4 linked regions of the Oryctolagus cuniculus genome follow. The protein of the gene in region 1 purifies or fractionates together with the protein of each later gene. This does not show direct contact. Links are inferred from orthologs where the notes say so. Each region holds a gene or a part of one and is shown on either strand. Other genes may lie near its edges. The genes, in order: SUCLG2, HSCB, SUCLG1 and SDHA.

Region 1 (7,551 bases):
GGCAACTGGGACAGAACCCGGCACCCCAACCGGGACTAGAACCCGGTGTGCTGGCGCCAGAAGGCGGAGGATTAGCCTAGTGAGCCAAGGCACCGGCCTAATCTAATCAAGTTTATCCTATCTGTTTGACGGACAGGATCTTCAAAAAGCACAGGACAGAAATCTGTGTAGAATCCAGTTTCCTGCCCTTGAAGAGCTTCCTATTTGGAAGAACAAAAACCAAAAAGGAAATGGGGAGAAATCTTAGGAGGACTCACTAAGGGCAGTTCATTCCTCATGTTTATCTTCCTTCCTGTAATCCATGCCCAGCGCCCGGAGATCCTACCTGAAAGGTTACTTCCCCTTCCTCCTGCCCCTTCTCCTCCACCCTCTGGCTGCAGAGAATGCAGAATGAGAGCTTCTGGACAAAGATCTGGGCTCCAGGGCTGAGGACGCGGCAGTCCTCCAACTGTGACAGGAAAACTCTATGACCCTATCCATTCAGGAAAGTTGCCAATTATTCACGAGCAGTGAATGTACTCAGAACCGCCAGATGTACTTGAACACCAACCAGAAAGCCTCCGCCAACCCAGTTCCAATACTCATCAATCAAAGGCTGTCTTTTAACAGTCTCTCCTTTATCCCCGTGAGACAAACTGTCCCTCCAAACCCCTTCAAGACTCTGTTGGAAGGCAAGCGATAGTGATGGACTTGGGGAGCATTGCAATGTGTGAGTACGTGGCCTTTGATGAGGTCCATAGGTGGCCTTCCTCCTGCCGGCAACGGTGTTCAAAGCTGTTAACAAGTTTGAACATTCACTCTGCAAACACTACCAGAGTTCCTTGCTCCACCCTGACCAGATGGTAGACACAGGAGGGGTAACAGTGAGATGGAAAGACAAATACATTCATCTCACAAGGAGGGTGGGCTGCAGACTGGTGAGATTCCAGCCTTCCACAATCTGATCCCAGCTTGGGAAAGACGCAGGCTGTTGGAGTCAGGTAGATGTTGCTGGGTGTGATCCGGTTATCTCCAAGGCAAACACAGGAATAACGACATGACCACTCTCACAGGCTGGCTGCGAGGACTCAACGACATACCCAAAGGCAGCCGAGTGTACACAGAAGGAAAGAGCACAGTTTGGCCACTGAGTAAACAGCTCTTGAAACAGTGAGAAAAAGAATAAAGGAATGGGGTGAAGGTTCAGCTTTTCTCAGAGGAGAAGAGCAACTAGTAAATGCGGAATGCAGAGTTAGGTGCCATTTTGCAATCATCATAGTAATACATGACTCAAACAGTAACCACTGAGGAATGCTAAATTTACTGGGTAAAATTTTGACTAGGAAGGGGCTATAATCTGTCCATCTGTCTGATCTAGAAGGTGTTCATACTGAACTCTTAAACATTTATTGGAGGAAAGATAGAAAGTAAGCCAGCATGTCCATCTCCCCCCATTACCCCCCCCCCCCCATCTGCTGGTTCACTCTCCGAATGTCTGAAATGGGCAGGGTTGGCTGGAGCCAAAGCCACAAGTTGGGAACTTAATCCAGGTCTCCTTTGTGGGTGGCAGGGAGCAAATTACTTGAGCCATCACTGCTGCCTTCCAGGGTCTCTGTTAGTAGGATTTTGAAGTCAGGAGCAGGGAATCAAACTCGGGAACCCCAATATGGAAGCTGGCATCTCAAAGATTTATTTATTTTTATTTGAAAGGCAGAATTACACAGAGGAAGAAAGAGAGTCAAAGAGAGGGAGAGAGATTGATTCATCTTGCATCTTCTAGTTCACTCTTCAAATGGCTGCAATGGCCAGGGCTGGGCCAGGCTGAAGCCGGGGGCCAGGAGCTGCATCCAGGTCTCCCAAGTGGGTAGCAGGGGCCCAAGCACTTGGGACACATTCCATTGCTTTTCCCAGTGACATCAGCAGGGAGCTCAATAGGAAGCGGAATAGGAAGTGGAAGAGCCAGGACTCCAACTGGCACCCCAGGGGATGCCGGTGTCACAGATGGTGGCCCAACCCACTACGCTACAAAGTTGGCCCTAGCATCTTCACCACTAGGCCAAACACCTGCTCCAATACATCTAAAATTACGCCTCTATATTGAGAACAGAAAATGAGTGGATACAGGGTATTTGGCCATTTGGGGTAATATTGTGACTTTTTCTGGTAAATCTGAAATTACATAAAAATAAAAATGTGAGAAGCAGTGGGAAGAAAACTTTTATTACATTGTATCTTTTCTCACCAGTATATACTCAGAAATGAGCAAGGTTAAAAAAATTCAATCAGTGCTTAAGGGATGGGGCTGGAGTTGGTGCTGTGGTGGGGCAGGTAAGGCAGTGCTGGCGTCCCATATGGGAGTGGAGTTCCAGCTGCTCCACTTCTGATCCAGCTCTCTGCTATGGCTTGGGAAAGCAGTAGAAGATGGCCCAAGTACTTGGGCCCTTGCAACCGCATGGGAGACCCAGAAGATTCTCCTGGATTTGGACCGGTACAGCTACAGCCAGTTGCGGCCATCTGGGGAGTGGACCTGCAGATAGAAGGTCTCTCTGCCTCTGCCTCTCTCTCTCTCTGCCATTCAACTAAGTCAATCAATCAATTTTTTTTTAAGATTTACTTTTTATTTATTTAAAGACAGAGTTACAGAAAGAGGGAGAGACAGAAGGAAAGGTCTTCCATCTGCTAGTTCACTCCTCAGATGGCCGCAATGGCTGGAGCTGCGCTGATCCGAAGGCGGAAGCCAGGAGCTTCTTCCGGGTCTCCCACGCGAATGTAGGGGCCCAAGGACTTGGGCCATCTTCTACTGCTATCCCAGGCCATAGCAGAGAGCTGGATTGGAACGGGAGCAGCCGGGTCTCGAACCGGTGCCCATTTGGGATGCCGGCGCTGCAGGCCAGGGCGTTAACCCACTGCGCCACAGCGCCGGCCCAATAAACAGATCTTAAAAAAAAAAATCAGGGATAAGCTAGCCAAATAGGTCTAAAAATAAAATAAATTAAAAGGGGGGCTTCTGAATTTGGGTCTTATACCTACCCTTTATTAGATTTCAGACTAGCTGCCTTCTGCGACTCAGTTTCCCCTTGTGCAACCCGAGATTTTACCTATGTAACCACTTAAACGTGGCGACGAAGACTAAATGAGTTCGTATTTGTGAAGGGCTTGGCACACACTCAGCATGTTGGCTGCGGTCATTTTTGTTACACGTAAAGCGCTTAGCATTCGGCGAAGTCCGAATCAACCTCTGCTCTCAGTCAGTAATTTCCGGCCTTAACACGCGTCGACAGCTTTGCACTATCTTAGCTTAGGATAAAAAAAGGAGTAGAGAGCACCACTCACCTCTCCAAACTCACTGCACCGCTCAGATGGCGAACCCCCCCCCCCCCACCTGTCTCTTTCCTGCTCCAAGGCCCAGCTCAAGCCCCAGGGACCCAGGGCTGGAACAGCGCCAGTGTCCTTACAGCGCTCCTGGCCACAAACAATTCGCTCCTTTGTCCTTGTCTGGCGACAGCGTTTAATTCCAAGCCTCAAGAGCACAGGGCTCTCAAGGCTAGGGAGAGCGCAGGTAGAAGCCCGCCAGGTCCCCGACGGCTGGCAGGGCGCTGCAGGGCGCGGCGAGCCTCATTGCCCCTGAGGCGCGCGCGCAGCGGGGTCCCGGGGGCCGCCCCGGCGCAGGGGGCCGGCCGGGCCCGCCTCCTCCCGCCCCTGCGTCTCCGCCTCCCTGCCCGCGCTCAGCCCTGCTCGCCCGCGCCGGGTTTCCTGTTTAAGATGGCGTCCCCCGTGGCAGCCCAGGCCGGGAAACTTCTGCGACGCCTAGCGCTGCGGCCCCGGCTCCTGGCCCCCAGGTCCCAGGTGAGCGCGGCCCGGCGACAGGTGCCGTGGGTAGCGGCGCCCGCCAGGGCTCCCCTCGTGCTGTGCTTCCCCCGCTGGCCCGTTCGGGCCCGGCACTTCGGGTGTGCGGCGCCCCGGGGAGTAAAAGGGACCCCGGCCCCCGGCCCCCTGGCCTCGGCTCGGGTGTGGGGCTGCAGGGCGGACGGCAGTCCCTGCCACAACCTCCCCGAGTGTGGCCGCTTCTCTCCGGAGTGGCTGACGCAGGTGGCTTCCCTTCTGGAGGTGACGGCTTCTGGCACGCTCCCAGGCGCTGGATACAAGTTTAGGAAAAGTTCCTCCGCCTGGGTTTTGGAGCGCTAGGGTTTCGTTTTCGGCTCTGCGTGGGAACCGTCTCAGCTCCGCCGCGCCCGTGGGAGACCCGTGCAGCCGCTCCATGTGGGTGCCTCGCCTCCCGCTCGGAGCTTGCAGCGGGGCAAATTTTCAGGATGGCCGAGTCGGGGGAAAAGTATGCAACAAGGAGTGAAATGGAAGGCGTGTCCGCCCCCAGCTTTCAGAGGAAAATCAGTCCTGTCAGCGAAAGGCTTTGGTGGTCTCCTTACTTATGGAGAATGGAACAAGGAGGGCGGGGGTGGGCGCTGCAGGGTGAACTTGGCCTTCAGTGGGTTTTACCTTCTGCAGAGGGCATGCATCATATTAGCGAGAAGGGCTTCGTGGGCACTTTGGAGTTGGTAATGACTCAGAGAAATCGCTGGATCCCTCAACGCCTTGATGTCTGTAGGTCACCTCCCTCCCCTTGAAAAAAAAAAAAAAAAGGACATTCTGGGGGCTCAGCCGAGGCAGAACGACCTTGTCCATTTCCCCATTTTTAATTGGCAAATTATCACTCATGCAATTTTAATCAGGATATGCGTAGTATAGCTTTAAAGAAAAATTAAAAAGTAGCACCTAATGATTTTTGAGTTACTCTAAAGCTTGGGTTAATTATGACATCTGTGCGATTCTTTTTTTTCCTTCCCTCTCATTTCCTGACTTACCATTTCTCTGTTATTGTTAATGTAAATTTAAAAGGTGCTAATCCTTATTACTGTAATGTCCTTAATAGGCACTTGACAGTATGGTGGGGTAGCAAAAGGAATGCAGGTTTTGTCTAATTAAAATCACTAATAACTGTTTAATAGAGTAAGGAGAGTAGCTCCAGGTGCTCAAGTCCTATTAATTATTTGAATGTTACAAAAAAAAAAAAAAAAAAAAAAAACACAAGAACTAAAGTGCTAACTATCAGCATAGAACTGAATTGATGAGGAAGAGAGAGCCCAGGGCAGTAGGAACTGGAGAAGGTAATCATTGTGCAGAGAAACCTAAAATGCAGAATGTTTAGCTTCCGTGTATTTCTTCCCTAGCTAAGCAATGAGACCCTAAACTCAACACTCAAGAGAGAGTGGTTGGGCAGACACGTCCTTGGTTTATCTAGAAGACTGGATGAAAAACTTGGTTATCTTTCTCTGCTGATGACTTTGGTTTGCATTCCTGTGCATGGTTTGCATTCCTGTAAACACAAGGCTTAGGAGATGAGAATGGTTTTCTAAAGATAGGAACTGTACGCAGTGTCCAAGAACTGGAAATGGGAATTAGTGAGTATCTGGTCCAACCACGTCACTTCCTGGGTGTCAGACGTAAGGCCTGTGTGTTCAAGGTTACAGAGCTTCTGTGGGAGAGCAGATTCCAGAGTGAAGTTTATTTGTGAGTTTCCATTGCAGCTGACTGTTGCCTGGTGAGCGTAGGTCTCTTAGGAAAATGGGTTTTGCCAACATCGAAGTTAATCTGTATAACCAGCAGTGACCATAGAACCTCCAAGTCACGAGCACACTGTTGCTTTCTTTCTTCATGTACATCTATGAATTGACAATGAAAATAGATTAGGTATTGCTCGTTTGGGTGTAAGGAACTCTTCTCAAATTCTTGGGTGCTTCTTAATCTCTGCTCTGTGTAAGTCTGATTTGATATTGGGCCTGCCTGGCCCCTTGTCCATAGCAGACATTACCCTTGAACATGGCCCACTTTCCCTGGGAAACTGAGCACTGAGCATCCTCACCACGTGTCTCAGAAATCTGTCTGCTCTTGGCCCAGACCTACTTTCTATCAGGACTTGTGAAAAGCCGTTGCATATACAGAGATAGAAGACCCAGGTTCTGCCTTGAGAAATAGCTAATTGGCCTCACAGAGATACACATAGGATGACACTTGGTTTATTCCCTCCCAGTGGTCACATGGATGCATACCACATGTTCCTGATGTGTAATGTTATGATGGTGCTTCTTGCCTTTCAGCTTCCGCTCTTCTCTGTCTTGACAGCTATATTTTTAAAGGATTCACCTTAATCATTTTTTATTTTTACACACACACACACACACACACACATATATATTTTTTTTTACTCAGCCCATGCCATCTGACAGAACTGTTCCAGGTCCTGAGATTTGGAGGTGGTGAAAGAGTTAGGCAGCCTTTGAGTGTTCATTTGTTTATCTGCTGGTTCACTCCCTAAATGCCCACAATGGCGAGGGCTAGGCCAGGCTGAAGCTGGGAGCCAGGAGCTCAGTCTGGGTCTCTGAGGTGGTGGCGGGAACCCAACCACTTGGGCCATCGTGTGCTATTTCCCAGGATCCGCATTAGCAGGAACTGGACCTCAGGAGCCAGAGGCAGAACTTGAACCAGGTTCATGTGATGATTTAACGGGGTAGGGGAGAGCAAAATGACTCCAGCCAGTGACAGGCCGTGAAGTGAGTTGTTACATACTGCAGGGTGAGTGCATAGGGGAACTGAACTTGACAGAGTGGTGTTTTTGGTTTTGTTAAATTTTTAAATTAAAATATGATAGCACAAATGCTAAAAAAATATGCATATTGTAGGTGAGCGGCTGAATGATTCTTGTGAACCAAACATACCCCAGCAATGAAAGCCAGGTCATGAAAATAATCATTGAACAGCAACCTGGAGGCCCCTGGTGTTCGATCCCTTCACTATCTCTGCCTCCCAAAGGATAACCCATCCCGGAATTATACCATACACTGGTTTTGTTGTTGTTGTTGTGTTTTTTTTTTTTTTTTTTTTTTTACATTGTCTATGTGGAATTAAACATTATACATAGACCTGCACAATATTATTCAATAGTATATTTATGAGTTCCTACATATGACCCTTTTTTGACATTTGAGTTAGGGCCTGAGTGAGAAAAGCAGCCAGCCAGGTGAGAGTTAGGGAGAGAGTGTATTAGACACAGCAGAGAGCAGGTGCGAAGGCACTGAGGTAGAAATGAGCTCAGGATGTCTGGACACTTAGAGGGAAAGTGGCAGAGGATGAGGTCTGAGAGGTGGACAGAGGCCAAATCATGTGGCGACTTGCAGGGCTCTGGTAAGGAGTTTTTTTTTTTTTTTTTTTTTTTTTTTACTTTTTTGACAGGCAGAGTGGACAGTGAGAGAGAGAGACAGAGAGAAAGGTCTTCCTTTGCCGTTGGTTCACCCTCCAATGGCCGCCGCGGCCGGCGCACCGCGCTGATCCGATGGCAGGAGCCAGGTGCTTCTCCTGGTCTCCCATGGGGTGCAGGGCCCAAGCACTTGGGCCATCCTCCACTGCACTCCCGGGCCACAGCAGAGAGCTGGCGTGGAAGAGGGGCAACCGGGACAGAATCCGGTGCCCCGACCGGGACTAGAACCCGGTGTGCTGGTGCCGCAAGGCGGAGGATTAGCC
Region 2 (7,472 bases), on another chromosome or scaffold:
ATTAAATGAGTGAAACATGAAACACTTAGCCTGGCCCAGTCACGACGTTTGACTTTGAGCAGATCACCAACCATCACTTTGGATTAATTCCTAAATGCTGTCCCCTCCAGGTGCGCGTAAGGCCCAGGCAAAGTGAATGCACAGGGCACAGAGTTAGTTTTGGGCTCAGCCTGCAGAGCCTCCAGGCTCCTAGTGCTCTTTCATTGACACGGCATTGCCACCTGAGAGGCTCTTCTCAAACCCTGGGCAAGGACAGGTGACTTGGATGCTGTTCCTGGCTGCCCACTCACTACCCATGTGCCCATGGGGCAGATTCGCAGACAGGGAAAAAGAGAGAGAGAATGCTTCCATCCACTGGTTCATTCCCCAAATAGCTGCAACAGCGGGAGCTGGATCAGGCTGAAACTGAGAGCCGAGAAATCCAACCTGGACTCCATCCTGGTCTCCAGCCATGCAGGTGGCAGGGGCCCAAACACTAGGGCCATCTTCCTCTGCTCCCCAGGCATAGTAGCAGGGAGGGAGCAGCCGGAATCCAACCAGCGCTCACACGGGACTCCCGCGTCACAGATGCTGTATCATAATGCCAGTCCCATAGAATAGATTTCAAAGTGCTTTGAAAGAAGGCAGTAAATAAGTGATTGATGCTATTTACAATGGAAAACACACTTTCTGTAAAGTGAGGAAACATCAGAAAAATAAGATTCTTCTCTCTCATCTCATTTGCCATCTTCTCTTTTAACACAGTATGACATGGATGTGTTCCTTTTCCTATAATTAGCAAGTGGTTGCCTAAAACACTTGGTAATAGCCTGGCTGATAGGTGGTCCCCACTGAATGCTGGAAGACTCAGACTGTGGAGAACATCAAGGTATATCCTTGTCTTTTTTTTTTTCTTTTTAATGATTCTATAGTCATTTTATGAGCATTGGTGATTTCCTTTGGACCTGGCAGGGGTAGAAAAACAGTGTAATGAGGATTGCCCACTGGGTGCTGTAGCACAACAGGTTAAAGCCACAGCCCGCAGTGCCAGTATCATATGGGTGCTGGTTCAAGTCCCAGCTGCTCCACTTCCAATTCAGCTCCCTGTTAATGTGCCTGGGAGGGAAGCAGAGGACGAGCCAGGTCCCTGGGCTCCTACATCCATATCAGAGACCTGGAAGAGGCTCCTGGCTCCTGGCTTTGGCCAGGGAGTGAACCAGCAGATGGAAGACATCTCTCTCTCTCTTTCTGTTGTCTTTCCTCTTTTTTTAAATAAATCTTTTAAAAAAAAAAAGAAGAAAGAAAAAAAAAAAGAGGGTCATGCAAGCTACACTAAATAGTGCCTACTGTCATGGTATATGTACAACAAAGGTTATGAAACCTTAACTTTGAATCCAAGCTCCCTGCTTTCTGTGCAAATCAGCATGATTCCAAAGTGTTATCTTCAAACTGTGAGTCTGTTTTAATAAAAGAACTAAGGTAATGGTTTTCTCTTTCAGCTAAACAGAAAGAACTTACTGACAATGTGGGCAAAGCTTTTGAACAAGGTATTTTCTTCGGTTGCTGACTTTATATATATGTAAAGAAATCATAAGCATTGAGGCAAAAAGCATTCATTCACTAAATAGCTTTTATATACTCTTCCTATAATGGATATAGGGAGAGAAGCAAAATATTTATTAATCTTTATTTTTTATTTTTATTTTTTTATTTTTATTTTTTAAAAAATTTTTTGACAGGCGGAGTTAGAAAGAAAGACAGAGAGAAAGGTCTTCCTTTTTTCCATTGGTTCGCCCCCCCAAAAGGGTGCTATGGCCGGCACACTGCGCCGATCCGAAGCCAGGAGCCAAGTGCTTCCTCCTGGTCTCCTGTGCAGGTTCAGGTCCCAAGCACTTGGGCCATCCTCCACTGCCTTCCCGGGTGACAACAGAGAACTGGACTGGAAGGGGAGCAACCGGGACAGAATACGGCGCCCCAACCGGGACTAGAACCCGGGGTGCCGGCGCCACAGGTGGAGGATTAGCCAAGTGAGCCGCGGCACCAGCCAATATTTATTAATCTACATTTCTACCTTTAAGAGTTGATAGTCTTGCTCCAGTGGCATAGTCAGTTAGCACTTGGTACTTGTAAGAAGTAATAGTCTTGCTGGAGAAACAAACTGTATACCAGAATCAGTGCTATGCCAGTTAAACATACAGGAGAAAGTGCTTCTATTCTACTTGTACGAGAAGATAAGGTGAGTTACGTAGAGTAAAATACTTAAAAGTATTGAGAGAAGTACACTCACCTAGAACTTTGTATTCTACAAAATTATCCTTCAAAATAAAAGAGAAATAGATTTTTCAGAAAAACATTGATGGAAGTAAAAACTAATTTTCCTTTTTTTTAATTTTTGGCTTATTTTATTTATTCAAAAGTCAGAGAAAGAAATAGAACACCTATCCGTTGCTTCACTCCCTAAATGCCAGTAACAGCCAGGAGCCAGGAACTTAACCTGGTCTCCCAGATGGGTGGCAGAGACTCGAGTGCTTGAGCCATCACCTGCTGCCTCCCAAGGTGTACATTGGCAGGAAGAAGTTGGAATTGGAAGTAGAGACAGGACTCAAACCTAGGCACTCCAATATAGGATGTTGACATTCTAACCAGTATCTTAACCACCCCTCTGATTCTTAATTGAACTAACAGATAACAGTTTGTTCAAAATAGTAATAGCAACAGTATGCTTAGGTAGGTTTATGCAGAAATGAAATGAAGGACACCTCTGATACAAGGGGGATGGAAAGTATAGGATTCACTACCATGAAGCAGTATAACGTTACTCAGACATATACTTGGAACATTTGTCAGTGTACATCTTGCTGACTATAGGGCAATAACTAAAAATGGTCTTAAAAAGTGTAACTGATATGCTGAGAGAGAATGGAATCATAAAATGTTCGCTGATGGGGGCTTATGTTGCAGCACAGCAGGTTAAGCCTCTGCTTGAGGCACTGGCATCCCACATCTGAGGGCCACTTTGCATCCCAGCTACTCCACTCTGACCCAGTTCTCTGCATTTGGGAAGAAAGCAACAGATGGCCCTGCCATCCACATGGGAGACCCAGATGGAGCTCCTGGCTCCTGGCTTCAGCCTGGTCCAGCTCCGGCTGTTGTAGCTACTTGGGGAGTGAACCAGGAAATGGAAATCTTTCTCTATTTCTCCCCTGGTCTTTCTCTGTCACGCTGCCCTTCAAATAAATAAATAAATCTTTAGAAAACAATGTTAAATGGAAACTTTAAAAGGTAGAAAGAGTGGAAGGCAAAAATAGGAACAACGAATAAGAGCAGCAATTAGGAAACAGTAACAAATATGGTAGATTTTAATCTAGCTATAGCAAGAATCGCTTTGAGTGTCAGCTTAATGTACCAGTTAAAGGACAGAGATTGGGGTGAGCATTTGGTGCAACAGTTAAACCACCACCTGGGATGCCCCACATCCCAAATCAGAGTGCCTGGGTTTGAGTCCCAGGTCTGATCCCAATTCTAGCTTTCTGCTAATACACACTCTGGGAGACAGAGATGATGGTTCAAATAATTGAGTCCCTGCCACTATGTGGGAGACCCTGATTGAGTTCCAGGTTCTTGGCCATTAGCAGGAAGCTGGAATCAAGTACAGCCAGGACTCAAATGGAAGCACTGATACAGGCTACAGGCATCCCAAGCAGCATCTTAACTGCTGCACTAAGTGCTCGCCCCTGATCCAGAACATTCTTTGCTGTGGGAGGCTGTCCTGTGCACTGTAGATGTCAGCACCACTTCCCCAGTTGCAGCAACCAAAAGCATCTCCAAACACTGCCAGACACCCCCTTCAGGGCAGAATCACTTGTTGAGAGGCATCATTCCTACAGCCTGGAAGCCTCTGAGGGCAGCTCGTGCTTCGGCAGGAGGCATAGAGGAAGCACTCTGGGGGTCCACATCCTTTTCATTGTTATTCCTCTACATGTGTTAGGGGAAAACTTTTTTTTTCCAAGATTTACTTTATTGATTTGAAAGACAAAGCTACAGAAAGAAAGAGAGAGATCTTTATCTGCTGGTTCACTCCTCAAATGGCAGCAACAGCCAGGGCTGAGCCAGGCCATATCCAGGAGCCAGGGACTCCATCCGGGCCTCCCACAGGGATGGCAGGAGCCATCCTCCACCGTCTTCTTAGGCACATTAGCCAGGATCTGGATTGGAAGTAGAGCAGCCAGGACTCCAACCGTCACTCATATAGGATACCCACATCACAGGCGTCACTCATATAGGATACCCACATCACAGGCGGTGGCTTAATCTACTCGCCACAAGGCTGGCCCCAGGGGGAAAACTTTTAAAATACAACCCATTGGTTACTTGGCCCCGTCTTGAAGAGAATCAGCTTTTCTCTTCTCTCATTTATCTGAATTCTGTAAACAACCATAATCTTCCCCCTTTTGGTTAATCCCTTTGAGCAATCTAGATGTTCTCCCTCTCTGTTGCTCGGATTTATTTACTGAGTAATTGATGCACCCTCGAGCCAGTGCTTAGCTTTGATCAGACTGCCTTGGTGGCCAGCTCTGGTTCTTGAAATGAAACCTTACATCAGTATCTCTTGTTTATTTCAGATGACTTTGAAAAGGCCAAGGAAATTTTAACAAAGATGAGATACTTTTCAAATGTTGAAGAAAAGCTCAAGTTAAAGAAGATTCCCCTCTAATTGTTGCTAATTTAAGGCTTTAAAAATAAAGTTCTTATATATTTCTTTTCTGGCTCCTGTTAATAATACAGTTTACCTGTTTATATGTTATTTTTTTTTTATTTATTTATTTTTTTTTTTTTTTTGAAAGGCAGAGTGGACAGTGAGAGAGAGAGAGACAGAGAGAAAGGTCTTCCTTTGCCGTTGGTTCACCCTCCAATGGCTGCCGCGGCCGGCGCACTGTGGCCGGCACACTGCGCCGATCCGATGGCAGGAGCCAGGTACTTATCCTGGTCTCCCATGGGGTGCAGGGCCCAAGCACTTGGGCCATCTTCCACTGCACTCCCTGGCCACAGCAGAGAGCTGGCCTGGAAGAGGGGCAACCGGGACAGAATCCGGTGCCCCGACCGGGACTAGAACCCGGTGTGCCGGCACCACAAGGCGGAGGATTAGCCTAGTGAGCCGCGGCGCCGGCCACCTGTTTATATCTTACTTAAACCTGTGGTTCAAGCATGAATGGATGGCAACATTTTTCACACCAGAGGAAAACAGCCTTGTCAGAGCTTGAGTGGCGGTTCTTCACCTGATGTTTGAGAACAGCTTGCCCCTGCCTAGGCCAGTAGATGGGGAGCTGGGAATGGGACTGAGCGGTCTTTTAAAGTAAGGAGCTGTGGGGGAACTGGGCAGGAATGGTTGGCATTTCTGCCAGGCCTGCACTGTAACTCTACCCCCTTTCCTGTCAATCAGTGCATCCACTTTCCCTTGATGCACCTGCATCTCATCTGGGACCAGGAAGAGGAGATGGCATGAAGCCCACGTGGAAGTTAAACTCCATGTGGAGGTGCCATGCAACCAACAGAAAGCTTGCAAACGCTAAATTTTACCCTGTTTGTTTATTCAATTAGGGCACCACCCCGACCTCATAAAGGAGATCATAATGGGAAGGGGGTGCCCCCTTTCACTCACAGGTGAATGTATACTCTCTTGAGCAAATCCTTCTGTCACTTGTGCACTGTGCTGTGCCTCTGCTTTGAATTATTACCTCTGTGGGGGCAGGAACCTGGAATAAAGATTAAGATACATGGGCCCATAATATAAGGAGGGATTCAGAAACATTTTCTCCGAAGGACCAGATAGTAAATATTTCAGACTTTGTCGTCATACGGCCTCTGTTATAACTAGTCACTGCTACTCCTGTAACACAAAAGCAACCGTGGACAATATGTAAGCAAGTAGACAGGGCTGTGTTCCAATCAAACTTTATTTATGAAACAGGTGGTGGGTCAGATGTGGCCGTGAGTTTGCCAACTACTGCCCAAGAACCACAACTTCTGTCTAATGGTGTGACCTTCACTTATATAAATAATCCTCTTTGTTACTGTGGCTTGGGACATTGTGTTTGATAACAAGCAAATCCATCTGATGGTGGCTTTGGCCTACATTGCAAACTGAAGATAACATGCCCAAGAATGAGCATAGTATTACACACCATGGGTTCTGCCCTACCTTGGTGAAAGGGGGGGGGGGGGCCTTAATTACTCTCTGGATAGTGGACACTCATCACTATTTCCATGTTCTTTTTTTCTTTTTAAAGATTTATTTAATTTTTACTTGAGAGAGTTACACAGAGAGGAGAAGCAGAAGAGAGAGTCTTCCATGCTCTGGTTCACTCCCCAGATGGCCGCAACGGCCAGAACTGTGCCAATCAGGAGCCAGGAGCTTCTTCCAGGTCTCCCACATGGGTGCAGGGGCCCAAGGACTTGGGCCATCCTCCACTGCTATCCCAGGCCACAGCAGAGAGCTGGATCAGAAGTGGAGCAGCCGCAACAGCAGAGAGCTGGATCGGAAGCGGAGCAGCCGGGACTAAAACCGACGCCTATATTGGATGCCGGCACTTCATGCCGGGGCGTTAACCCGCTGCACCACAGCACCAGCCCCTCCATGTTCTTCTAAATCAGCTCAAAGCAGCTTTTATTTCCCATTCTGGATCTTTGGAAATTCAGTTTAAGGTCTTGATCTATTTCCAGAAAGAAAAAAACAAAAATGTGGGGGAGGGGAGTCTGCTTATTTTAAGTCTCTGGATCAGTGGGGATTAAATACCAAACAGAAAATTCTGATCTTAAAAAAATCCCAAGAAACAACATTCTTGGGAGAGTCACTCACTTGTTTATAATTGAAAAAAGTCAGGGGCTGGCATTTGGTGCAATGGTTAAGGTGACAGGATGCCCATATCCCATACTGGAGTGCCTGGACTCCAAATCCAATTCAGCTTCCAATTCCAATACCGGGGAGGCAGCAGGTGAGGTTCAAGTACTTGGGTCCCTGCCACCCACAGAGAAAACCCAAATTGAGTTCCTGGCTTCTGCCTGCCCCGTCCTGGCTCTTGCAGAATGTTGGGGAGTTATCTAGTAAATAGATTTCTGTCTATCCACCTTTCAAAAAAAATTGCAAATACCAAAAATGTTCATGAAGAATGGAACCATGATTTAAATACTATTCCAGAGCTATATTGTAGTGCAGTGGGTTAAGCCACTTGGAGAGTTTTTGTTTTGGTCTCTCCTCTCTCTGTAGCCCTATCTTTAAAATAAAATAACTAGATCTTAAAAATAAATAAATACTACTCCAAGAGCTTAAAACCATAGCTCCTTTGCGACTCCTTGTCCCTTTCTACAAAATGTGTGTCTTGTGAATTCCGCTCCAGCTAACATTCTATAATTGACTGATTTTCAGAAGACAAATCGACCCCAGCGGTTGTCTGGCTTAATGGTATTCAGAAATATCAGTACAATCTGCAGGGCCA
Region 3 (6,908 bases), on another chromosome or scaffold:
CGTTGCATGTCAGATAAAGGCCAGGGTTAGCATTGTAGTTCAGTCCCTGGCATAGCACCCAACCTTCTTTCTCAGGTCCAGGTCTCATCCCATCTCATATGCCAGTTTTCCTTTCCCCTTGCCTTTAATTGTTCTTCTGCGAGGCATGATTAATATTTGACTGTCACTCTAGGTTGTATTATGAATAGCAACTGGTATCCTTTTTCTTGGAGCTCAGTCCAGTTCTCTGATGCAGTAGGCATCAAATGTCAAATGAAAGGATAAAGTGTGTTGTTAGGAGTGAAATTTTATTAGATTCTCCTGCAATCACAAAAGTTGTGAAATTTGAAGTTTAACTAAAAACTTCTTCTTGGAAAAAAAATTAAGTTAATGTGAACTTTCACTATGTTAAAGTGAATTTTAAGTATATTTGGACCCAACTCTGAATCTTTTTGAATAGCTTACATTTATTGGGAAAACTAAACATAGAAATTTTATTTAATTTGGCACATGTTTTCCTATTCCTGGTTCATCCCAGTTGGACTAATTTTTTTTATAGTACAAGATTCTAGGTTCAGCAGTTCAGATTACATAGTATATAAAATACTTGGCATGATACCTGGCATGGAGCAGATACTCGATAGATGTTACCTGCTGCTACCACACTGTTACTGTTAATGATAGTAATTATTTGCAGAAGTTGTTTAATCTTTATTTTGACCTGTAGGGCAAGATTTTTTTGTCCTTTCTTCAGGAATAGGGAACTGGCACCGGAAGGCTAATGTCTTGCCAGTGGTAGGACGGCAGCACATGACCCAGGGGTGGGATTCATGCCAGAGCTCGCCTGACTTTGCCATTACATCGTGAAAGGATCAGGAGGCAGATTGCAGGGGTTCAGGACAGAGCCAGCAGTCCTTCCTGGGTGTATGTTCCGACTATCCTTACACTGTTCTGCCGATCTTTCTGCTTTTGGACTTTCAACTTATCATTATTTATATCCTGTTTTCAGGCTATACTTTCCCATAGTGTAATTATATTTTTTTCCATTTAAAAAACTGCCAATGATTCTTCTGCATCAGTGGAACAGAGCATAAATTTGTTTGACATGCTAGGCTTGTCATAATTTTGTTTCTTTGCAGCCACTCAAACATGAGATTCTCATATAATATGCAGAGGCCATGAGTGAAGGAATCAATGACTGTGAGGTCTTCTTTTTATTTCTAAACTGCAGATACTATAGTACATGCTGCACATACAGAAATGAATGAGAACATAATCCCCACGTTAACACTTTTTTTTTTTTTTTAAGATTTATTTATTTATTTATTTGAAAGGCAGAGTTACAGAGAGGCAGAGGCAAACAGAGAAAGAGAGAGGGGGGTCTCCTATCCACTGGTTCACTCCCCAAATGACCGCAACGGCCTGAGAGGTGCAGATCTGAAGCCAGAAGTCAGGAGCTTCCCCAGGTCCCATATGGGTGCAGGGGCTAAAGGACTTGGGCCACCTTCTACTGCTTTCCTAGGCCATATCTGAGAGCTGGATTGGGAGTAGAGCAGCTGGGACTCGAACCAATGCCTATATGGGATGCTGTCCTTGTAGGTGGTGGCTTTACCTGCTACACCACAGTGCTGGCACCCGCCATGTTAGTTTTGTAGGGGAACACATGGGAAATAGGTTACAGAGAGTTTACTGAATGTAATAGTGGAAACATGTAAAACGACAGCAAGATCACTAAAGAGATCAGATCATTAGCTATAAGGGCATTTGTGCAGAGTGTGGAGGAAGAGTCAGGAAAGGCTCATGGGGAAGAGGAAGCTTGAACTAGGTCTTAAAAAGTAAAAATTGTCTAGATATCCAGGAAAGTAGAAAAGATTCTCAGCAGAGGCACATACAGGTAGGGAAGTCTGGTTAATGGAAGATAAAAAGGAGAAAACAACAGTAGGAGACGAGGCTAGAGTAATCAGTGTCAGACCATGCAGCAGCCTGCATGAAATCAGAGCAGTGGAATCACACTAGGATCATTTACTGCTGTGTACCTGCAGTAAGAAAACAAAAAACCCTGATAAAAATTATTAATTTTATGAAGTCTTGACCATTAAGTCAGTATTTTGTGATGAGATGGGAAGTTAGGCTCTCTTGCCTTAAGAATTATAAGCTGAAGTAACTTAGATGCTTTTTTCATGGATACCAGTTTTGCTTGAAATAATGATGGCAGACAGAGTGGTTATTCAGACTTGGATGTTTGATAGAACTTTTCTAAGAAATGAATGATGTGAACCTGTCATATCAAGGAAAACAACTGATAATATTTGTTACCAATGATAAAATTTGAGGTGTCAAGTTTTGGAAAATTTGAATCTGCTACCCTGAACTCAGTTTTCTCCCAATTTAATGACTTTTCTAATTAGAGTTGACAGTGATACTGTTGGCTCTGGTTTGTTGATAGTGAATGATAAAATCTGTCAAGATTTGGAAGATCTACTCAATGAATTGATATTTTTCAGTTTGCCAGTGCATGTTACAAAATCATGGGTAAAATATCCAAAGTATAAGACCAATGGATTTCAAAGTAACAGAGGACAAGAAGTTATTGCCATGGGTTTCAGATTCCAACATTGCATCTAACCTTTGAGAAATTACCACTTGAAGAGGTTCATGTAGTATCAAGAAGAACATCCTCAGTTATCTGAATGGCAATTAAAATACTTATGTTTCTAGCTGTGTATCTGTATGAAATCAGATTTTCTTCTTATACTTCAGCCAAAATAAAATATAACAGATTGACTACAACAGCAGATATTCTTTGTTTTTATTAAATTAAACATTCAAAAGTTATAAAAGTAAGTTTTAAAATGCCACTCTTATTAAATAGTTTTAAGATGTTATCTGTAAATGAGTTAACAAATTTATAAAATTTGTTTTCTAATTTATAAAATTTAATTTCTAATATAGTAAATATCGGATATAATCTATGCATGAACAAAAGCTCCTTCAGATCCTTAGTAATCTTTATAAGTGTAAGGGATTCCCCAGACCAAATGATTTGAGAGCTGCTGATCTAGGGGAAGATGATAGTGCCTGAATCAAAGCTCTCACATTCTACACACTTTGTTCAGGTTCTGCCTTCTCCAGGCCTCTCTGCTTTACTTGTATTCATTATTACCTCTGGACTCCTATTACAATCATAGTATTAGCATTCATTGTGCAACTTCACAATAGATTCATATATTGCTTTTTGGTATCTCATAACTGATTAATAATATATACATATTTAACATTTCTTCAACTATATAATACTGAGCACAGAAATTCTTTTTTTCTCTATTTTTTGAAACTTCAGAATCTAGTACAGTGATATTTCTTTACAAAAAGGTTGTATATTACAGTTAATTTTGTTGACTAAAACCAAGAAATTCAGAGTAGGAAAGGCTCTCCATTAATCTCATTCAGCCATTTCTTTCCAAAGATGAGGAAGCAGAGATCTGCTTGTACCTTGTCCAAGGTCATGCAGCTTTAGTCAATAAATTTGAATCTGAGTCCTGGGTCTTTTCCTTATGCTTTTGTGCCTCATTTTTTTTTTTTTTTTTTAGCACATTTATTAAGGCTGAGCTAATAGTGAATAAAGACACAAAATTAGGTTGAAGTAAAATAATCAGATGTGTGTTAAGTAATTATTAATCCAAGTCTTATATCACATGTTTTCAGATTTGCTCTTTTGTTTTTCAAATGAAAGATTGACATGCTTGTAAAACGGATTGTGCCAGTGAAGCTGCAGTTTAATATTCACCAGATATAAAAGTTTCCTTAGGTTTGTTTTCCTGGGTTTGCGTGGGAGGTTGCAACATTCCAGGGGCAAATGCTGTAGGGGTTTCAGTCATAGTCTGATATTTGTTTTGTTTTGTTTTTTTTTTAGGATTCCTAGTTCAACCCATTTAACATTTACCATTTACCATTTACCAGCAGAGTCATGGGTTTGAGTTCCAGTTTTTATCAACTTCTTAAGAGTGTTTGAAATGCCACTTTATCTCCAGGGTCCAAATGCCAAGCCTGTAGTGTCCTTCATTGCTGGCTTAACTGCTCCTCCCGGCAGAAGAATGGGTCATGCAGGGGCAATTATTGCTGGAGGAAAAGGCGGAGCTAAAGAGAAGATCTCTGCCCTGCAGAGCGCAGGAGTTGTGGTCAGCATGTCTCCTGCACAGCTGGGAACTACCATCTACAAGGTAAGCTCTAACAGGGGCCCAAATGGCCAGTGTGGGCCCATACTGGGTCCCTGGAAACCGTCCCTGGAGTGATCTTTTAAGACTCTCCTTATTTTTATGATGGTTGAAGCCTTGACAAAAAAAAAAAAAAAAAAAAAATATGATCAAAACAACAACCCTGCTTCTAAAGCATTTTGAAAATAGGCACAGCTTGTTGTCCCAGAAGGAAACAATATTCAGTGAGAATTTTAAAATCCTGATTTGGTACAATCATCTTTGCTCTTATCTTAGGAATAATAAAATGGACTCCTTATTTTATTGAAACTTCTCATATTGTTTTGAACATACTGTGTGCCATGTGTTTGAAAGAAATCTAGGTGATTAGTAGTGTGTGAAGAAATATTTTATTTGAAAGTAGGGGAAAAGGAATGAAAAGCAAATGCTTAAATTCACATTGAAAATGTGTTACCATTTTAATCCAGTAAGGGGCAGTAGACATCTATACATTTTGTCTTGTTCTAATTGTTAAAGTCTAGAAAATTATGATTTTTGGTATTATTTCCTTAAACAATACTTGATTTAAGGTACATATTTGTTTTGAGGATTTTTAAGGTTCTTGGAATTTTGTTCAGATTCTAACTGAATCTGTATGTAGTTTTATTCTCTGAGAATGTAAGCAAACCTGTTTAGGGTTCATGTATACAGGTTTGCATAAGCACAGTGAGATTTAACAACTCCTAATAATGATATTGCAGGAAGAAAGTATTAATTAGAGCCTTCCACTCAGCTTCTGAGATTAGGAGACATAAAGTTGAAGCCCTGAGTCTAGCTTAGTTATATTCAAGTTGACACAGACTAATTTGAAAGCTGCTGTTTTGTCTTCAAGTACCCTTCTCCTGGTACATTTTACTTCTGTAATTTGGTTCAAAGAATCCTAAAGATAATAGATTTTAGAATCATTTTGACCATGAGTGTACTTTGGATCTTTTACCTTTTTATCTGCTCTCAATTCTCCCTCTTTTTTCTTTCTCAAGGAATTTGAAAAGAGGAAGATGCTATGAAAGAACAAACCAAAGTTTCTTGAAACTGTGGAATGAATCATGATAGACATGTGAACCAGCAGCAGTTTGCTTCTCTTGTCCACTGATTGTCAGCCTATGTGCCTGGGGTTGGTCTTTCATTACAATGGGAAGCCAAAGCAAGGTTTTGAATGTCCTAAATTGAGATGTTTTCACCTCATTGTATAACAGAGACAGCCAATAAATCTACCTTGATTTGAATATGGTTTTGGAAACTTGTTATTCTACTATGGGGAGAGTGGGAGATACAAAGGAGTGTGTGTGTGTGTGTGTGTGTGTGTGTTGGGGTGGGGGGGTCTCTGAATTACACACGAGAACATTGTAACTAAAACTTTTTTTAAAAAAGATTTATTTATTTACTTGAAAGGCAAAGTGACAGAGAGAGAGTGCGAGCTCTTCCATCTGTTGGTTCACTCCCCAAATGGCTGCAACAGCAAGATCTGGGCCAGGCCTAAGCCAGAAGCTACAAACTGCATCATCTTCCATGTCAATGACAGGGGCCCAAATACTTGGGAAATCTTCTGCTGCCTTCCCAGGCACATTATGGAAAGGAAGGAGGAATGGAAGCAGAGTATTTGGGACTCAAACCAGCACTCTGGTGGTGTCTCAAGTAGCAGCTTAACCTGCTGTACCACAACACCAGCCCCTATGACTAAAAGTTTCAAGAGAATGAAGCTGATACTTCACTATGGCATTTGTCTAATTATCTAGACAGAATGACCTTCGTTGTCTTGAATCAATTATATCATATATAATAATTTCCATTTTACAGGGTGCTTTGAAGGGTTAGAAATAAATGTGTAAATTTCTGACGCAGAAGAAGGTGAACTTAATTGTCATGCCTCCACCATCACTACGTCTATGGTTGTCATGTGTATTGCAGATAGAAGCTCTTGTGTTTTCAGTTGAGAAATGGGGAGTCTTCACTAATGCCGCACTTATCAGTGATTCTGTAAAGAGCTATCCCCTACCCTTTGCAGAGCCTACCTTCTTTGATTGAGCTTTTAAGATGTTCACTGAAAGATAGCAGGAAGACTATTGACTACCCTTATTTGTGTTTAAAAGGGAGCTTGTTAACACGAAGCAGTTCCAGTGTCCCTAAACACGAAGAGAGGGTACCTATCATTAGGAATTTACATGTGGGTGGGGAGAGACACATAGTTTTAAATTGTGTAACTGCCTTGAAGGAAACAAAGAGCTTCTGAAAATATTGTTGGGTGTCATGCCAAATGAAGAAAGGCTGACTGAATTGTCATCCCTGGGGAGGAGGGGGCTGAAAGGGTACCAGCCATGCAGAAAGGAGGACTGTCGGCCAGGCAAGGGGAGCAGCCTGTGCAAAGGCTGGGGGAGAAGAAATGAAGCAGCACCAGGTGCACATGGAGGAGTTGGAGGTGGACTGGGAAGGCCTAGGGAAACATGTTCTGGGAGCTTACGTGACCATACGCAGGCACTGCTGAGGTACAAAGAGCAGGTGTCAAGAGACCGAGGCATAGTGCAGCAGCTTCTGCCCAGGCCAAGGGACTCAGTGACTGTCTTTGAGTCCAGAGGAACTTACTTCCTGCTTGTAGCCATTTCCTCTTCAAAAGAGAGATGACGACCCCTACCCCACACCTCATGCTACAGGGTACCTGTGTAGGATATATATTGAGGT
Region 4 (7,504 bases), on another chromosome or scaffold:
CTGCTGTTTCACTGTTAGAGCTCTCTCTCCCCAAGTCATCAACTGATGTCTGTGAGACAGGGACCTGGAGTGACAGGCTCTCATCACTCACTGATTCATCATGTTTGTCACTCTGTGTGGGTTTCTGAGAGGGGGTATCTTTCCCATCTCTGAGCGCTTAAGAGCGGCACGCCATGCCAACTCTAGCCAAAGGGAAGACACGCACAGCACTGCTGCCATAACAAAACAAATTCCTAGCACCTCAGCGGCTGATGGCATTCTGCAGGGGTTCCCTACGTTAGACAAATAGACAGTGGTGTGTCAGATCATAAGTATGTCCTGTGCCTAGTGGGGGATTTCCTTGATTCGTTAGGTCAAGGCTGTATGCCCACATGGTAGCTCCAGAGCGTCACCTCTCTTGAGTGAGGGAAGATGACTGGTTCAGAATTCTGGGATGATCTGAATTTGCCGAGTGAACCGAAAGTAAAAGGAGGAGCCGAGAAGTGGCGTATGCTTCTGGGCGGTGTTGACTAACCTGGGGTCACTTCAACTGAGGACAAGGACAAGGAAAGGGGCGTGGGAGGGGGTTCTGTGCTCACCCTCACAGAACTAAACAGCACACAAAACACCAAGGGGCCTATTTGCCGAAATCAAGGGGGGACCTCGCCAAGTCTGACACGCTCTGTCACCTTGGGCGCCAGATGTTGCTGTGGATTCGTTCTGAGGAGGAGCGTGGTGGGGGCAAGAGGCACGGAGTCACCACACAGACCCCTGGAGTCCGGTGAAAGCAGGCCAGAGGCAAGCAGCCTGCAGGCTCGTTTATTTCAGTTGCTGCAGCAGATTAAATAGCCAAGGCGGCCAATCCGGTCAAAGGGGCAGTTTATGCCCTAACCAATCACAGCCTGTTGCCAGGTGGGTTTCAAAGCCATTGGTGAGTAACTGCTGGCATGGCCTTCTCTCATCCCACCACGGTTGTTGTGGTAAACTTTACATTTCAACTTGACTGAGCCACAAATGCTGACATTTGCTAAACATGTCAGGCTGTGTTTGTGAGGGCATTCCTGGATCAGACTAGCATTGAATCCTCCAAACAATTCCTCACAATAAATCAAACATTCCAAGTGTATATATATGCACAGTGTGTGCACATACATACATACACGGCATCTACACATACATGCACGCCGTACACATGTAAACGAGAACACTTCGAAAAGGTCATGGAAAACGTTTGGTGCAAACATTTTGAAATCAGTCCATGCACAGCTTTTCATCACACATATTTTCCATGAACTCTCTCAACTGCCTCTGTAAATACACTCATATATTCTATGGGTTGTCTCTCTGGAGAACCCTAATACACTTCCAAATGTATCTATAATCAACTCAACAATGGGCTCACACTGCTCATATTGATACGCTGTGAAGAATGAGCTACACATCGGTAGGAGCCAGACAAGGATAAGGTCTTCCCAGCAGAGAATGTGAGGGAGGCAGGACCAAGTGGGGACGCTGTGGACACCACAAGGGAGGAGGGCCGAGTGGGGACGCCAGGGACACCACGCGAGGGAGGCGGGACCGAGTGGGGACGCCGGGGACACCACGCGAGGGAGGCGGGACAGAGCGGGGACGCCGGGGACACCACGCGAGGGAGGCGGGACCGAGTGGGGACGCCGGGGACACCACGCGAGGGAGGAGGGCTGAGTGGGGACGCCGTGGACACCACGCGAGGGAGGCGGGACCGAGCGGGGACGCCGGGGACACCATCAGTGGCGCATCCAGGGCTGTGGCCTCCTGCGTGGGGAAGACAGGGACAGCGCTGGGGACTTTCCGTGCTTACACGGGGACAGTGACTGCAGAAGACCACAGAGAGCCTGCTGCAGGTGCGGAGTGCCCTCCAGACCCGGGCTGGGCACTCACACAGCAGCCACGAGAGCTTTCAGCCTGCTTCACGAGCCACCACCACAAACACCCGCTTACTAAACAGTTACTCACGGGTCACATACGAAACGAGAAACTCAAGTTTTGTGACAATTTTAACAGCTTTGCAATAAACACTTAATATCTAAATTGACAAAATTATGATAGACAATAATGATAGATGCAAAAAACATGGCTCAGAAGTTGATACTGGTGGAGTATGTGGCAATCACAGGCTCTAACAATTAGGCAGGTACCTAATTTAGAAAGTACTCAACCTGCAGGACTCCCTAGGAGGCACAGTCGGCCTGCGTGAGCTCGAACGGGTGGCGCGGGCTGTTCCCCACACACCTCCCAGACGCCTGCGCTCTGCTTGCTGATAACGCAGTGCAAACAGCTACCGCACTCCATGGTTTACCAACAGAAAAAGTGTTCGTGCGGGGCGGGTGAGCTCCTTCTTCCTATCTTGTCTGCGGTGGCCGTGTCCCTGTACCTTCCCTCCGCACCCACGAAGCCCACCGCCGGCGCAGACGGCCCAGGGACGCCCCCAGGAAAGTAAGCGCCACGCACAGTTTCTTTGGCCTTACTTACTAACAGCAGAAATAAAACAGGCATTGTTGTAAATTTAACAAGAATTAAGTTATTTTCCCCAAAATAATGCAAAACATATTACTAATCCAATGAAAACGCAGGCACCACAATTATTTGAGAAAAGACTTCAACTATCTTACATGAACGCGCATATTAGGAAAACCAGAACCTTCCAGTTGTAGACTCGGAGTCGCCGAGGGACCCACACAGAGGCTCCCGCGCGGAGCCGCCCCAGGGTCCTGCACCTGCGGCCGCGAACCTGGGAGTCGCGGCGCCCAGCACAGGCCGGACGGCGCAGGGTCCCCACGCCGCAGCGGCTCGCTCCTCACCACCGCTCAGCCCTGCCAGCCCGGCTTTTAAAGAAATACCGCTCAAGCCCGCCCTGACCAGAGCCGCACCCACCTGCGCTGCGGGCGCCCAGACCTCCTGGCCCCCGGACCTCCTGGCCCCCTCAGCGCCGCCGGCCCCCGGCCAGTGCGCAGGCGCAGGCTGCCACCCGCCGATCCCGGAGGCGACATGTGCGCAGGCGCGGAACTTCCCGTCGTCCCCGCCCCGGATGTGGCGTTTGCGCAGACGCGTCCTGCGCGGGGGCTGGCGGGACAGCGTTGGGCCGTCATGGCTGGGGTCCGAGTGGTGTCGCGGCTGCTGTTGGCGCGGCGTTTGGCGCTGACCCGGGCGGTGAGTCGGCGCCGGGGACCGGCAGGGCCGAGGCAGCGGTGGTGGGAGCGCGGCGCTCCCGAGCGGGGTGCAGTGGACGGCTTGTCCCGGTGAAGGTCACGACCCGTTAGAGGCCAAGGTCGCTGCTGCCCTGGCCCCTGGCTCTGGACGTGGCGGGCGGGGACCCCGGAGGCGAAGGCGCGGCTGCGGGGCGGACGTGATCCTACCCGGGCGCCGGAGAAGCGCGGGGCTCGCGCAGGAGCGGCCGCGGCTGCCGCCGCGCGTCTGTCCGGGCGCCCTCTCCGGCCGCGGCTCCGGCGTCTTGCTTGGCCGGACGCGGGTGCTTCGCTGCTTGTTCCCTCAGTTTCAGTGCGCTCGCCAGTGCCCCTGCGAGTCGCCAAGGCCCCTGCGGGGCTTGACAGGCCCGGGGCTCAGCCGTCGCGAGAGGGCCCGCAGGCGGTGACTGAATGCGCCCACCGGAGGGGGCCGGGGCCCCTTCTGCGGGCCGCAGTGGGTGTCCGGGGAAGCCGCGCTGGCCTGCCTTTCCTCCCGTCGCGGCGAGGCTGGAGCCGGCGGAACGCGCTCTCGTGCGGCTGGCTGCTTGCAAACCAGAGGGCCAGGAGGAGCAGCACGGAACCGCACGCAGGCCTGCGCGAAGAGGGGGTCTGGGCCTTCTCGTGAGGATGGCGCTCTTCCTCCAGAAATTGTGCCCTCAAGCAGTGTATTGCACTTAAGGTTGGCTCATTTCCTGAAGAACTGGAGTTTACCAAGGAAAATGAGAGTCAAATTAAAAGAGAAAAAAGGCAATTTTAGGATAGTTAGCTGAGAATTGACTATAAAGTCGATGTTGGGGCCGGTGGTGTGGCCTAGCGGTAAAGCCGCCGGCATCCCATATGGGCGCCTGTTGGAGTCCGGCTGCTGCTCTTCCGATCCAGCTCTGCTGTGGCCTGGGAAAGCAGTGGAGGATGGGCCAGGTCCGTGGGCCCCTGCACCTGTGCCTGGAGGAGGCTCCTGGCTTCGGACCGGCCCAGCTGGGGAGTGAACCAGTGGGTGGAAGACCTCTCTGCCGTTCAAATAAATACATATTTTTTTAAAAGTAGGTGTTGAGGATAATTTCAGAAAAATGAATAGGTAATTTATCTCCTTTTTATCAGTTTTGTGTTTTCAAGCCATTCTGTCATTATGGCTGCTTTCAAGTTACTAATTTTTTGCCTTTCTTTTAACCGTTCTGAAGCAATTTATTCCAAGAGGAAAGTAAAACGATGGACCTGAAATATTTAATTGCTTGCTTCCAATGAAGTGTTTCAAAACTCTTAGGATGAACACCCAAAAAACTGTCCTAGGATAAGCTAACTTCTTTTCTTAAATGGATTGATCTGGGGCCAACGTTGTGGTACAGAGGGTAAAGTCACAGCCTTCAACACTTGACATCCCACCTGGGCGCTGGTTTGTGTCCCGACTGCTACACTTCAGATCCAGTCCCTGCTAATGGTCTGGTACAAACAGCAGATAGCCCAAGTGCTTAGGCCCCTGCTACCCACATGGGAGACCTGGAAGAGGCTCCTGGCTCCTGGCTTCATCCTGGCCCAGTGCCTGCCTTTGCAACCATCTGGGGAATGAACCAGCAGGTAGAAGATCCCTCTCTGTATAACTCTGACTCTCAGATAAATCTTTTTTTTAATGTATTGATCTGAATACATTTTAATGGTGTATCTGGAATTATTTAGGTCTGTATAGGAATAGCCTTTGGTTTTGCTTTTTGGATCATTATATAAATGATATTCAGTTCTGTATTCTACATATGTCTTTCCTGGTTCATTTGAAAAGTGGCTTGGTTGTGGTGTTAACCTGGATTTTAGTCTTAGTTTGGAGTATCTCAGAGGCTTTCCCCAAGGGTCCTTAGGTAGTGGGGAAACTACGAGATGCTGAGCCACCAGGCTGACTCTGACCTTAAGGTTCTGAATGGGTTAGTGGAGTTCTGTGAGGTGACCTTTGACTCCCGTGGTTCATGACTCACAGCTATGCCCAGGACAATGTGCACTGTATTTTAATCATCCTTCACTAAAAAATTAACATTTAAATACATAATGAAAATAATTACACAGTTTTTAAAAAGACTTATTTATTTATTTATTTGAAAGGCAGAGAGAGAGAGAGAGAGAGAGAGGTCTTCCATCCACTGGTTCACTCCCTAAATGGCCACAGTGGCTGGAGCTGGGCCGATCTGAAGCCAGGAGCCTGGAGCTTCTTCCAGGTCTCCCACGTGGGTGCAGGGGCTCTGCTGCTGCTGCTGTCTTAGGCCATGGCAGAAGCTGGACCAGAAGTGGAGCAGCCCGGACTTGAGTGGCACCCATAGGGGATGCGGGCACTGCTGGCGGCTTTACCCACTACACCACAGCGCTGGTCCCAGTTACAGTTTCTAAAAAGCAATAAGAGGAGGCCAGCGCCGCGGCTCACTAGGCTAATCCTCCACCTTGCGGCACCGGCATACCGCGTTCTAGTCCCGGTCGGGGCGCCGAATTCTGTCCCGGTTGCCCCTCTTCCAGGCCAGCTCTCTGCTGTGGCCAAGGAGTGCAGTGGAGGATGGCCCAAGTGCTTGGGCCCTGCACCCCACGGGAGACCAGGATGAGTACCTGGCTCCTGCCATCAGATCAGCGCGGTGCGCTGGCCGCAGCGCGCCGGCTGTGGCGGCCATTGGAGGGTGAACCAACGGCAAAGGAAGACCTTTCTCTCTGTCTCTCTCTCACTGTCCACTCTGCCTGTCAAAAAAGAAGGCAATAAGAGGGCCTTGTAGGTATAAAGAAGTGGGCTGCTCCCCACCCACTAGTGGGAGTAGTTCTGAATTGCTTATAATTTTGGCCATGCTATTTACCTGCAGTCTCTAGCTGAATGTGGGTGTATTTTTTGTCAGTTGAGACATCAATTCTTGTTTGGTAAAACACTTATTCCACCTACTCCCTGTTCCTGTGCCCTCCCAATAGTTATGCAACCATTTTTTAAAAAATTTATTTATTTGACAGAGTTACAGAGAAGAGAGAGATCTTCCATCCACTGGTTCATTCCACAAGTAGTGGAGTGAAACGGCCAGGGTGAAGCCAGGCAGAAGCCAGGAGCTAGGAACTTCTGGGTTTCCCACCTGGGTAGCAGGACTTGGGCCATCGTCCATGCTTGTCCCAGGCTATCAGCAAAGAGCTGGGTTGGAAGTGGAGCAGCTGGGACATGAACCGCCACCCATATGGGTGATGCAGACGGTCGCTTTACCTGTTGAACCACGATGCTGGCCCCATACAACCATTTTTAGGTCCTCTGTTGGCTGCGTTTGTAATTGTAAGGATTGTGCTTACGAATTGGCTTCCTGTTCATGGTTATGGATGTATTAAGGGAAGGCTCCCTACCTTGCTAGGTTGAGGCTGGGCTGTTAACATCTCTACTCTTGTCATTTTTATCTCCCGTCTTCCTAATTCAGGCATCTGAACTATTTTTTTTTTTTTTTTTTAAGATTTATTTGTAAAACAGAGTGACAGAGGGAGGGAGAGAGATCTTGCACTCATCTGTTGGTTCACTGTCCAGATAGTTGCAATAGCCAGGGCTGGGCCAGGCTGAAGCCAGGAGCCAAGGACTCCATCCGGATCTCCCAAGTGGGTGGCAGAAAATCAAGAACTCAAGCTTCCCAGGCACTCAGATGTGGAATACAGCTGTCACAAGCCTCGACTTGGCCTTCTGTGCTGCTTGTCTGCCCTCGTCATCTGAACTTTTGTGCTGTTAAACAAGAAAACAAGATATAACTAAAAGAAATACTTAGGTCCAAGTATTTCTTTTAGTTATATCTTAGCTAGATTTCCTTGTTCTTTTTCATGTAACTTTATTAGAAAATGTTTGATAATCTCTCCACAAAAAGTTTAATTTAACAAGTGGCACGAACTGGTCTTTATTTAGGCAGACGTTGGGCTCTCCTGGTCCAGCATTATGGTGTTGCAGGTAAAGCTGCCACCTACAGTGTCAGCAACCCATGTGGGCTCCAGTTTGTGTCTTAGCTGCTCTACTTCGGAATCCAGCTCCCTGCTAATGGCCTGGGAAAAGCAGCAGAAGATGGCCCAAGTGCTTGGCACACTGCCACCCATGTTAGAGACCCGGGTGAAGCTTCTGACTCAGCCTGGCCCAGCTCAGGCTGCTGGTGGCCATCTGGGGGAATAAATCAGCACATGGAAGACATTGTCTCTCCCTCTCCCCCTCCTCCTTCCTCCCTCCCATTCCCTCTCCCCCTCTCCCTCCTTCTCCCTCTCCCCTCTCCCTCCTTCTCCCTCTCCTCCCTCCCTCTCTCTCTGTAATTCTGACTTTCAGATAAATGAGTAAGTCT

What was found.
Region 2: the proteins of SUCLG2 (region 1) and HSCB purify together in Homo sapiens (affinity purification with mass spectrometry; 3 studies listed by BioGRID and IntAct, with this or other methods). This does not show direct contact. The link is inferred for Oryctolagus cuniculus from reciprocal best matches to the Homo sapiens genes SUCLG2 and HSCB.
Region 3: the proteins of SUCLG2 (region 1) and SUCLG1 fractionate together in Homo sapiens (co-fractionation; 6 studies listed by BioGRID and IntAct, counting the BioPlex papers as one, with this or other methods). This does not show direct contact. The link is inferred for Oryctolagus cuniculus from reciprocal best matches to the Homo sapiens genes SUCLG2 and SUCLG1.
Region 4: the proteins of SUCLG2 (region 1) and SDHA fractionate together in Homo sapiens (co-fractionation; 3 studies listed by BioGRID, with this or other methods). This does not show direct contact. The link is inferred for Oryctolagus cuniculus from reciprocal best matches to the Homo sapiens genes SUCLG2 and SDHA.

Annotation. Positions count from the first base shown.
Region 1 is NC_091441.1:81,881,423-81,888,973, forward strand, and holds the start of SUCLG2 (succinate--CoA ligase [GDP-forming] subunit beta, mitochondrial), read left to right. Parts: upstream 1-3,660; 5' UTR 3,661-3,741; coding exon 3,742-3,825; intron 3,826-7,551. UniProt on the Homo sapiens protein: GTP-specific succinyl-CoA synthetase functions in the citric acid cycle (TCA), coupling the hydrolysis of succinyl-CoA to the synthesis of GTP and thus represents the only step of substrate-level phosphorylation in the TCA.
Region 2 is NC_091452.1:22,188,306-22,195,777, forward strand, and holds the end of HSCB (iron-sulfur cluster co-chaperone protein HscB), read left to right. Parts: intron 1-744; exon of another isoform or gene 745-778; coding exon of another isoform or gene 779-834; exon of another isoform or gene 835-868; intron 869-1,478; coding exon 1,479-1,526; intron 1,527-4,601; coding exon 4,602-4,693; 3' UTR 4,694-4,738; downstream 4,739-7,472.
Region 3 is NC_091433.1:118,194,521-118,201,428, forward strand, and holds the end of SUCLG1 (succinate--CoA ligase [ADP/GDP-forming] subunit alpha, mitochondrial), read left to right. Parts: intron 1-4,010; coding exon 4,011-4,199; intron 4,200-5,212; coding exon 5,213-5,239; 3' UTR 5,240-5,458; downstream 5,459-6,908. UniProt on the Homo sapiens protein: Succinyl-CoA synthetase functions in the citric acid cycle (TCA), coupling the hydrolysis of succinyl-CoA to the synthesis of either ATP or GTP and thus represents the only step of substrate-level phosphorylation in the TCA.
Region 4 is NC_091445.1:97,557,558-97,565,061, reverse strand, and holds the start of SDHA (succinate dehydrogenase [ubiquinone] flavoprotein subunit, mitochondrial), read left to right. Parts: upstream 1-3,002; 5' UTR 3,003-3,006; coding exon 3,007-3,168; intron 3,169-7,504. UniProt on the Homo sapiens protein: Flavoprotein (FP) subunit of succinate dehydrogenase (SDH) that is involved in complex II of the mitochondrial electron transport chain and is responsible for transferring electrons from succinate to ubiquinone (coenzyme Q).